Saccharomyces cerevisiae S288C: one gene and its partner. The protein of the gene in region 1 interacts with the protein of each later gene in a biochemical or structural test. Each region holds a gene or a part of one and is shown on either strand. Other genes may lie near its edges.

Region 1 (4,747 bases):
AATAGCATACATCTGCCATAATAATAAGCATTCCTAACCAATTGTAAAAACCACTTAATCTTTCAGAAAGAATAATTATACCAAATATTACCGTCAAAAGTTCCTTCACTATACCCACAATAGATACGGTCAGCACGGGCGTTTGCTCCAAAATACTAAACTCACAAATTGTCAACAAAAAGACTGCAAAACCAGGTAAAATTAACAAAACAATACCCCTCACAATGGATAGGACGGTAGTTTCCGTGCCGACACCGCCATTGCTCGTATCAAGCCTAAATATGCTAGAGCTGAATATACCAGGAAATGGTTTTTCCACAAGTAGCGAGGTAAGCAACAGAGTAATGCCCATTATAGGAGCTAACTGGTGGATTGTATGAATTGGGTGAGGCTTGGATTCTCCAAAATTCTCCAGCATTTTGTTATTGGCGAGGTTAACAACAGGTTCATTATCGACATTATCTTCATTTTCCGTGAAAAGGGCACCATCAGATTCCTCTACTGCTGCAGCGGTGTTAGTTTGAATTGGGTTGTTCCTAAGCATCAACTGCGTATAAACCCACCTTAACCCAGAAAGACAGCTACTTGCTAGGACAAGAAAGCTGCCAAAAATGACCAAGGCTTGGTCGTTTTTGGTACTGGTGGAATCGCTTGGTTTGAAAACCATTAATGCTACACCAACAAACATAATTATTACTGAAAGTGCCAACTTCCAATGAAACTTTTCTAGCTTGAAGATACAGCCGAATAAAAGGACAAAAGCTATGCTCGAAGATTTGATAATTGTATAAATTGTCAAGGGAACATACTGGAAGGAAACGTTACTGAGCCCGATATCACCTGCAGAAGCGACTGCCGTAGGGAGTAAAAATTTTAGAAAAAAACTCCAGTTAAAACCATTATTCTTTCTTAAAACGTTTTTCACTGGCTTATGCCTGAGCTTAATGTATATGCCGGATAGTAACCATAAAGTAGCCTGATGGAATGTTGTCACCAACACGGGATACCCAATACCCAATCCGTCCTTCGGATCGAACATCCATCTATTGTATATGGAGAGAGCTATTGAACAGAAATACCATCCAAATACAAATGCCAAAAAGACAGTCCTATTCATAGCAAAATGTGACACGAGAATTGAAGGTATAAACACTCGCTGTAACAACTTCAAGTGATCGTGGAAGTGATGAAAATGCAGTTATGAGTATAATCAGGCCAATTGACACTTTAAAAAAACAGAACAACAGCTTCTCGTGATGCCACTATCCCTTATATTTCCAGTTCTAAGCCATCTCCTTCTCATTCTCGACAAAAAAAATGGGTGTGATTATTTTGCGCTTTATTTTTTGGCGTCTCGTCGCCGATGACTCTAATAGATGTTGAAGCCTACAAGCATCTATTATATTTTCTTCTTTGGTTGTAATGGGATGAATGAATCTAGAGTTAATGAAGGAGTGCTGGCAATGCTGGGCTCGCTGGATGGATGATAACTAGATTGTGCAGGTACCTGTTCAAATCCATCACCATCATCATGTTCACTGCATCCAGTGTTAGTAACTGCGGGCTCGTGTACTTTGGGTTCAGCTTGTTGATCACTCATACTCTCTTGCTTTGATTGGATGGTATTTTTATCACTGAAAGTTGTATCATCGTCAGGTGATAGGCCAGATTTTTGGCTTACCTCATCCTGAATTTCATTTTTGGCCTCTATAGGCTTTTCGGATTTCTTTTTTGAACCTGATTTAGAACCAGAATGGCCCCAAAATCCAAAAAAACTCTTCCTTTTCGACTTATTTTTCTTTGTCTTATCACCGTCTGATTTCTTCTTTTCTTTGGGCAATTCCTTAACAACGAATTTCTGTAGCGGGTCCACTTTGAAATCGGAATTAGCCCACGTAGAAGGTTTCTTGCCATCAGCTGTATGTGCCTCATTTCTCTCAAATCTTTCTTCCACCATCCAACTTTTGCTATTGGGCTTTATACACTTATCAATCTCAGCAGAAGCTCTATCAAATAACTGACTGGTAGTAGTAATTTTGGGCTTGTTGCTTCCTCTGCTCGGAGAGCCCTGCTTGAAGGTTGTATTTATAGTTTCTTGATGAGAAGTAGGTGCTACATTATGACTCCAGGAAAATAGAACTGGCCCATCCAGCTGTAAAGCGCCAGAATTCATAGTTATGGTTTTTTCCTCATCAATCCAATCTCTTTGTATTTGCCGACATTTCCCATCAAGTTTGTCGGTACTCAATTTATTCCCCATTTGCATAGGTGAATGAAACAAACAGTTCATCAACCGCCTACCGTTCGCTACTTCATCTAATAACCCATATAACGACACATCTCCATTTTTGGCTTGCTCGGAGTCATCTTGCGGTGTGTATTCCTTACTGAACAACTGGTCGATTATTTTGTTTTCGTCCATAATTTGTCCTTCCCAAAAAATAACCAGCTTAGATTCTGACAATGCTTGTTTCTTTAATTGATGATCTGTAATATTCGTTGATCATTAATACCATTGATTTCAATATTTCATGTTTAATCTTTTGCGCGAAAATTTCAATTGCAAACCAAAATATACATCAACAATCTTTTATCGGTCAACAAATTTGTCGATATAACCAAATATACGTCGTCGCTGCCCATTATACAATCATCATGGTAGTATCCATCATACCGCAATTTCCTGATATCAAGGTTTCACTAGCATTGTTTGAACAGGTTAAAAATGCTAAAGAAATACGCTCTAAAATGAGTGAATTGTCGACATCCTTTGCCTTTATTGACCCCCGGTTAGTCTGTTCGGGGGAGCAGATGTATTCTGCAATTTACAAGACCTTAATAGAAGTGAAATATAACAAGATGAGAACAAGAAATTTGAATTCCGAGTGCGTACTATGTCTTTCACCCACTTCCAATATTAGTGATGCTTTCCTCAAATTCGGAATCAAAGACGATTCGTCACAGTTAATATGCCTTAAGTTCCATACTAATACTGACGATGTAGACAAAGAGCAATTGAGGACGATTATGACTTCTATAGTAAAAGGACAAGAGATCGAGTTTAATGATGACAATTTATCGAGATTTTATGACGAAGCGCTCATAAGAAAAGTATGTTTTAATAATAAATTCGAGGTAAAAACTTCAACAGCCTCACCAGAAACACATTGTACTAACTTCACCTTTGTTTTCCTTTTATTTTGTTTTTACCTATTAGATCTATAAATTAAGTGATGATTTCAAGCCCCAAGACGTAAATGGTCTCTCAAGAGCTTTGGTAGACGCTATTCAATTGAGGGGTGTGTAGATAAGAGATATCTAACGATAAAATTATAAAAAAAATTCTTTGATTATTTTTCAGATTAGTATTATTTGTTCTCCGTGAAGTCAGTGTATCGAACTGCCAAAAGTTCTCCTTATATACATGTGCGCGTATAACCATCACTTTTCTTCAATGGTTCTCTTGAAATTGGCAAAATGATTAACTAATTCCAGTTCAGTTGATAATGTATCGTATCTGTAGTTAATTCTAATATCAGGAACATTTGTTCTAACCACATCGTTACCTTCAACACCACTCTTGTCAAAATCTTTCCCTATCCAATGTTTTTTGATTTGTGCTTCCCACCCACTTTGCAACACGGAATTTCTTGCCAATTCACACATATCTACATTAGACAATTTATAAATTTGTGCTGCAACTGAGTATTCTTCGATTAATGGTTCTCTGGTATATGAGAATTGTAAAGGATCATCTGTGGATAGTGAGACATTCAAACCTCTTTTAAAGTATCTCGGAAATGGGTTTTTATCATAGGTCAAAAATAATGCGTTATTAGAAAGGGGTGACATTGCGATACCAACCTGATCTAAATAGTATAAGTATTGAACAAATGGAACTTTCCTCAATAAAATACCATGTGATATACCATGTGCCAATAGATATGCTGAAACGAGATGCTCGGGGTCACCGGCTTCACCACAATGTGGTCTCAAAACCAAAGTGTTAAACCCTCTCTTAGCCCTCCATTGATTCAAAGACGCGACATTTGAATACAAATAGTACAGGTAATAGGAATAAGGAGGGTTTTGAGGAGCCTCCCAGAGTGATGGCTTGGGATATTTCCTATGAAAGCGGCGATCAACCTTGGATTCATCATCGACAGAATCAAACCCAATTACTCTCTGTAAAAATACATGCAATTTTGGATGAGACTGAGGATTTTTGGTCACTTCAAATAGTGGCTGAAACAGATTCTTACAGATGTCCTGGAAGCTTTGAACAATGCCAGTTTTCTTGTAAATATCATATAACCTCGGAATTTGGACTAACCAACGAACATTATGGGAAATAACTTTGTTGTCAATCACCCAGCTAGCTAGTTTATCCCATTCATCGAGAGACCTGCCATAAACAGAAATTCTATACTCACAGTTTTGGTATTTTGAATTCTCTAAATCGAATATGACTTGTTTGGTAATGTCAGCCAAGTAGGTACCCTTGATGTAGTTGTTTGTCTTCAAAAAAATTTCTCTGAGACGAGATTCACCGATAGGGTTATATTTTAAGTTGAATTTATCGAATCTGTGGAATGTATCCTTATGTGCATGCATATCTAAAGTATCGATGGATAAATCATATCCAGTCAAATGCAAAGAACGGAATACTTCGTCTAAAGTTAGTAGTTTCCCGTCCCTGAAAATAACCTTTTCATCTTTGGAATGTCTCAATTTGTGTTTAATGAAA
Region 2 (4,047 bases), on another chromosome or scaffold:
AGAGCGCCCTTAAAAGGCCCATAAAGAGGGATGACAGGTATGAGCCATAAAGCTGCAAGCCTCTACGGAAAACGATACATCACAACCAAGGAAAGATAGACAGTTTATATTCATAGATAATAGGGGGAAAGACTTATGTTACTAAAGTGTGTTTGCAGAGCCGGCATAATATCTATCAAAGGAATCTTTCCTCGATGGTACTCCAATTCTCAAAAAGTGGCCAATTTGGGGCAAATAACAGATTATTTAGTGGTTAAAGGTGTTCCCAATTTGTTACAAAAAATGTTCAAGGAGTCAGTGTTGGCGGATAACGTTGTTTTTAGACTATTTCCAACATCGCATCCATATATTCCAGTGTTACATGGAAAATCAAAATACATGGCTTCTTTGAATGCAATGCGAATGATAGTACGAAAGTTTATCTTGGGCGATGAATGTCGCTTGCATATAAGTTCAGTAAAGACTCTAACATCGACATCGCATGATGAAGAAGTTAAATCTGCTCTTCAGAGTTATAATACCATAACATGTAATGACAAATTGGTGATCAAATGGCAAAGCTGCATACCGGAAGACCATTGCAAGATTACCAAATTAGAAATTAATGACAGATTGAAAGAGGAGAAACGAGGCAATGGTGCAGGCGGTTCATTTTCAATGAGGTCGGTACCAGTCATAGACTACATTTTACATCCTACAGCCAATAATTTGAACCAAAGTGTTATCTCTGAGTACCTTGAAAATGCAGCTGAAAGGTCAATGGAAAATAAGGTCAACGAAACTCAAAATTCCAAAGAAGATGAGAAGAAGAAAAATGATGGCGACGGTAAAAGAAGTAAAAAAAAGAGATTATCCCGGCTGATTAAGGGAACATTCATATTCGAATTTAACGAAGAAAATTCGAAAATTCTGGTTCATACCATTGAAGATGTTGAACTGATCCATTACGAGAAGAAAATTGCCACTCGCGGTGCATTTGCATGTTAATACGATATACAAGAATTAGATAGCATCTTTATTTGTAAATAATAAACACACCATCATAAACATCACCATCAACCTTGCACAGGAGAAAAAAGGAATAAAAAGGATAAATTGATTATGATTATTTTTTAAAAAAATGAATATGTAATATTATTTTATGTCGATTAGGTAGTATGTAATACTGAAATTATGCCAAAGTTCCTAACTAAAATTGGATAAGCAGGGGATAAAAAGTCAGATCAAGGAAAATGAGGCGAAACTTTCAAAAGGTCTTTTTTACTTCTTATTTTCCATCTTGAATTAGGCAAGGTTTCTCAAAATTTTTCAATTGGAACTTTGCTGGTACTGTTTCCGTGTTCACAGACCACTGTTCCCAAAACAGATCAATCTTATTTTGGTACGAGAAGCAGCTGTCCATCGAGCTATCTTTGTTCCATGCAGAATCAACTTCATTGATGAAATTCTCCATCGACCTCTCTTTAGCGTTCGATACCTTTAATAAGGTATCAACCATAATCTTGCACAAATGGAAGACATCATAAATGTCGGGTAGATCTTGCCATATGTACTGCCTCGTATGCTGCAGGCTAACGTGTAGGTCTTCTTCATCATTGTAACCACAGGAGAGCCTTGGTACTACGTATTTCCTGTAAATGAATGCAAATGGATCTTTTTCAAACTCATCGAAATTTTTTAGATGCTGAACCTTCTTTGATTTGGAGACTCTAAAAAGGCAATCGCCGAACATCAGATAAAATATGGTGGCACCCAATGACCAATAGTCAGCTTGGTATGTGTTATACAATGGAGCCGATGACCGATCGAAATTCTTCTTAAAACAAGAGTTACTAACGCGGCCAGAGAAAGTTTCTGGCGCCCTGTAATTATCGGTACCAATCTGGAAGTCGTTAGATTTAGGGGATTGGATAGCGTGACCCCAGTCTGCCAACTTGATGTCACCATTTATCGTTAGCAAAATATTTTCTGGTTTGATATCACGATGAGCAATACCCAAGCTGTGAGCAAAGCTGATTGCTGAGCACAGTTGTTTGATTATCTTTTGCATATCAATTTGAATCAAAGATGGAGACGACGGGCTACCTTGACTCTTAGCAATATCTAGAAAGTCATAAAGATCACCACATTCGCAGTATTCTAGCACCATGATGTAGTACGAGTCATCCGTGTAAAAGTCGAGCATCGAACAGATGTTGGGGTGAGGATTACAAGAACTCAAAATCTTCATTACATCATACTCGTTCTTCATGTTGGCTTCTGAAGTTTTGTATTTAGGAGTAATCTTTAAAGCGACGTAGCGGTTATGTGTAGTACTCCATGCTTTATAAACTGTGCTAAATGTTCCTGATTGTATAGATCTTAGTTTTGTATACATTTTTGCTTTTTATTATTCGGTATATGCTGATAATGATGTGCTTATTTAAATGATTGCGTATACGAGTGAGAATTTGATTCGGAGGGTATGAGAGTCGATCTTGAGTCCTATGTTATATGCTTTTTGTCAGTAACGGGTTATTTAATGCTAAGAATAGTTATTATAAAAGGGAAATTTTTTTGTATTAAGAATAGTCATCACTTACATGTGTATATTATATATATATATATATATGTATTGTACTCGTATTATTATTCTTTGGGGAAAGTATTAGTAGGTAGATGCAACTAAGCTCCGATTTTTCCAAAATTAAGTTGTCCCTTATTGCATGGTCCCCTTAATTATCCTTCCTTTATTGTATGTAACATGAAGCTGCATTTTTGTTCTCAGGCAGCATCATCGTTCCCTTCACCTAACCCTTCTAACTTCCTTTTACCTGTTGCAAGCTGTCTCATACCCGCGCTGAAAAGGCTGAGAACTGGGTATTGTCCCAATATTACGCTCGGCTTTTCTTTTCAAAAACTTTGTATTCCAGATACTTCCATGTGCAATTTCCCTAGTGCTCCCTGTACCAAGCCATCGGAGAGGAGATGCCTTCTAGAATTCAAAGCACGTAAGGGGTACAAAAATCGGAACGGGCCGAAGGCCGAAAAGAGACGGCCGTACGTGAGAGCACATGCAAAGTGGTGAACGGGACGTTACGGAGAATTACGGAACCTCTCAACAGAAGATGCGCCAATAGTCCTTCCGAACTAGCTCCACGGGAGGGGTATGAAGAGCAAGCTTGTTTACGCAGCCTCACCACCGCACCGAAAGACCCTCACGACAGAAATGGAGCGCCTTTAATGACGTTCGTCCGCTGCGGGCCAGAACAGCACAGTTTTGCTTCCCCGTTTCTTTTCCACTATTTCGTCACCCGCTCGAGGTGGCTCGCCCGCTCGGAGGCAAGCTGCACATTCATCGAACACGGAGAGGCACGGGCGAGAGAAAAAAAAGCCTATTGACCTAAACGGATGTCATAATGAAAAGAAGGAATCCGGTTTTCCTGGGCATGACTAAGGTAGCACGACTCAACTGGGCCAGATCGGTTGCTTCTTCCGATATACATGCATTAGATTAAGCCAAAGTAAAATCAAAAGAAAATTTAGCGGATATGAAAACCAATCTAATCTCCTCGTTTGCTTTCCGACCGCATGTAAGGTTCGGCTTTCTTGACTTCGGATATAGCTTAAAGTCGATTCTTGACGTCACTTCGCAATATCATTTCATTCCCATTAAACTGGCGTATGGACTTTGCGATCCTTTATTAATAGTTTATCCGGATCCCAGTTTTAGTTTGGCTCAAGCTGCAGGTGAAAAGAAAAAAGTCGTATTCCCTACGTATGAAGATGTTCCGAAACTACTGTTGACGTTTAAGCAGATTATGAATACGTATAGGAAGGGAAGTTTGGGACAGAGACAGAGACAGAGAGTGTACGGGCGAAATGGGAATGAATCACATTCTACGTAATTTGTCTTTGACTTTCTTAGAGATACGTATATAACTTTTTTTTCTGTGTGAAAAATAAATATTCTCTTATCCAATGTGGACAAGAGCCAAAAATACTCTGCTTTGTATATTTACTAGTTTTTTTGGCCTTTTTTTTCGCTAAACATATATATTAGTCTCG

What was found.
Region 2: of the proteins of LFT1 (region 1) and FMP48, one has a biochemical effect on the other in vitro, tested with the Saccharomyces cerevisiae proteins (one large-scale study listed by BioGRID).

What each region holds. Positions count from the first base shown.
Region 1 is NC_001145.3:202,987-207,733, forward strand, and holds LFT1 (Lft1p), read right to left. Parts: upstream 2,423-4,747; coding exon 1,400-2,422; downstream 1-1,399. Other genes in the region: YMD8 (Ymd8p), read right to left, coding at 1-1,117; CGI121 (Cgi121p), read left to right, coding at 2,656-3,111, 3,218-3,307; AMD1 (AMP deaminase), read right to left, coding at 3,442-4,747.
Region 2 is NC_001139.9:591,926-595,972, reverse strand, and holds FMP48 (protein kinase FMP48), read right to left. Parts: upstream 2,378-4,047; coding exon 1,268-2,377; downstream 1-1,267. Other genes in the region: MCO32 (Mco32p), read left to right, coding at 136-987; YGR050C (uncharacterized protein), read left to right, coding at 3,531-3,887.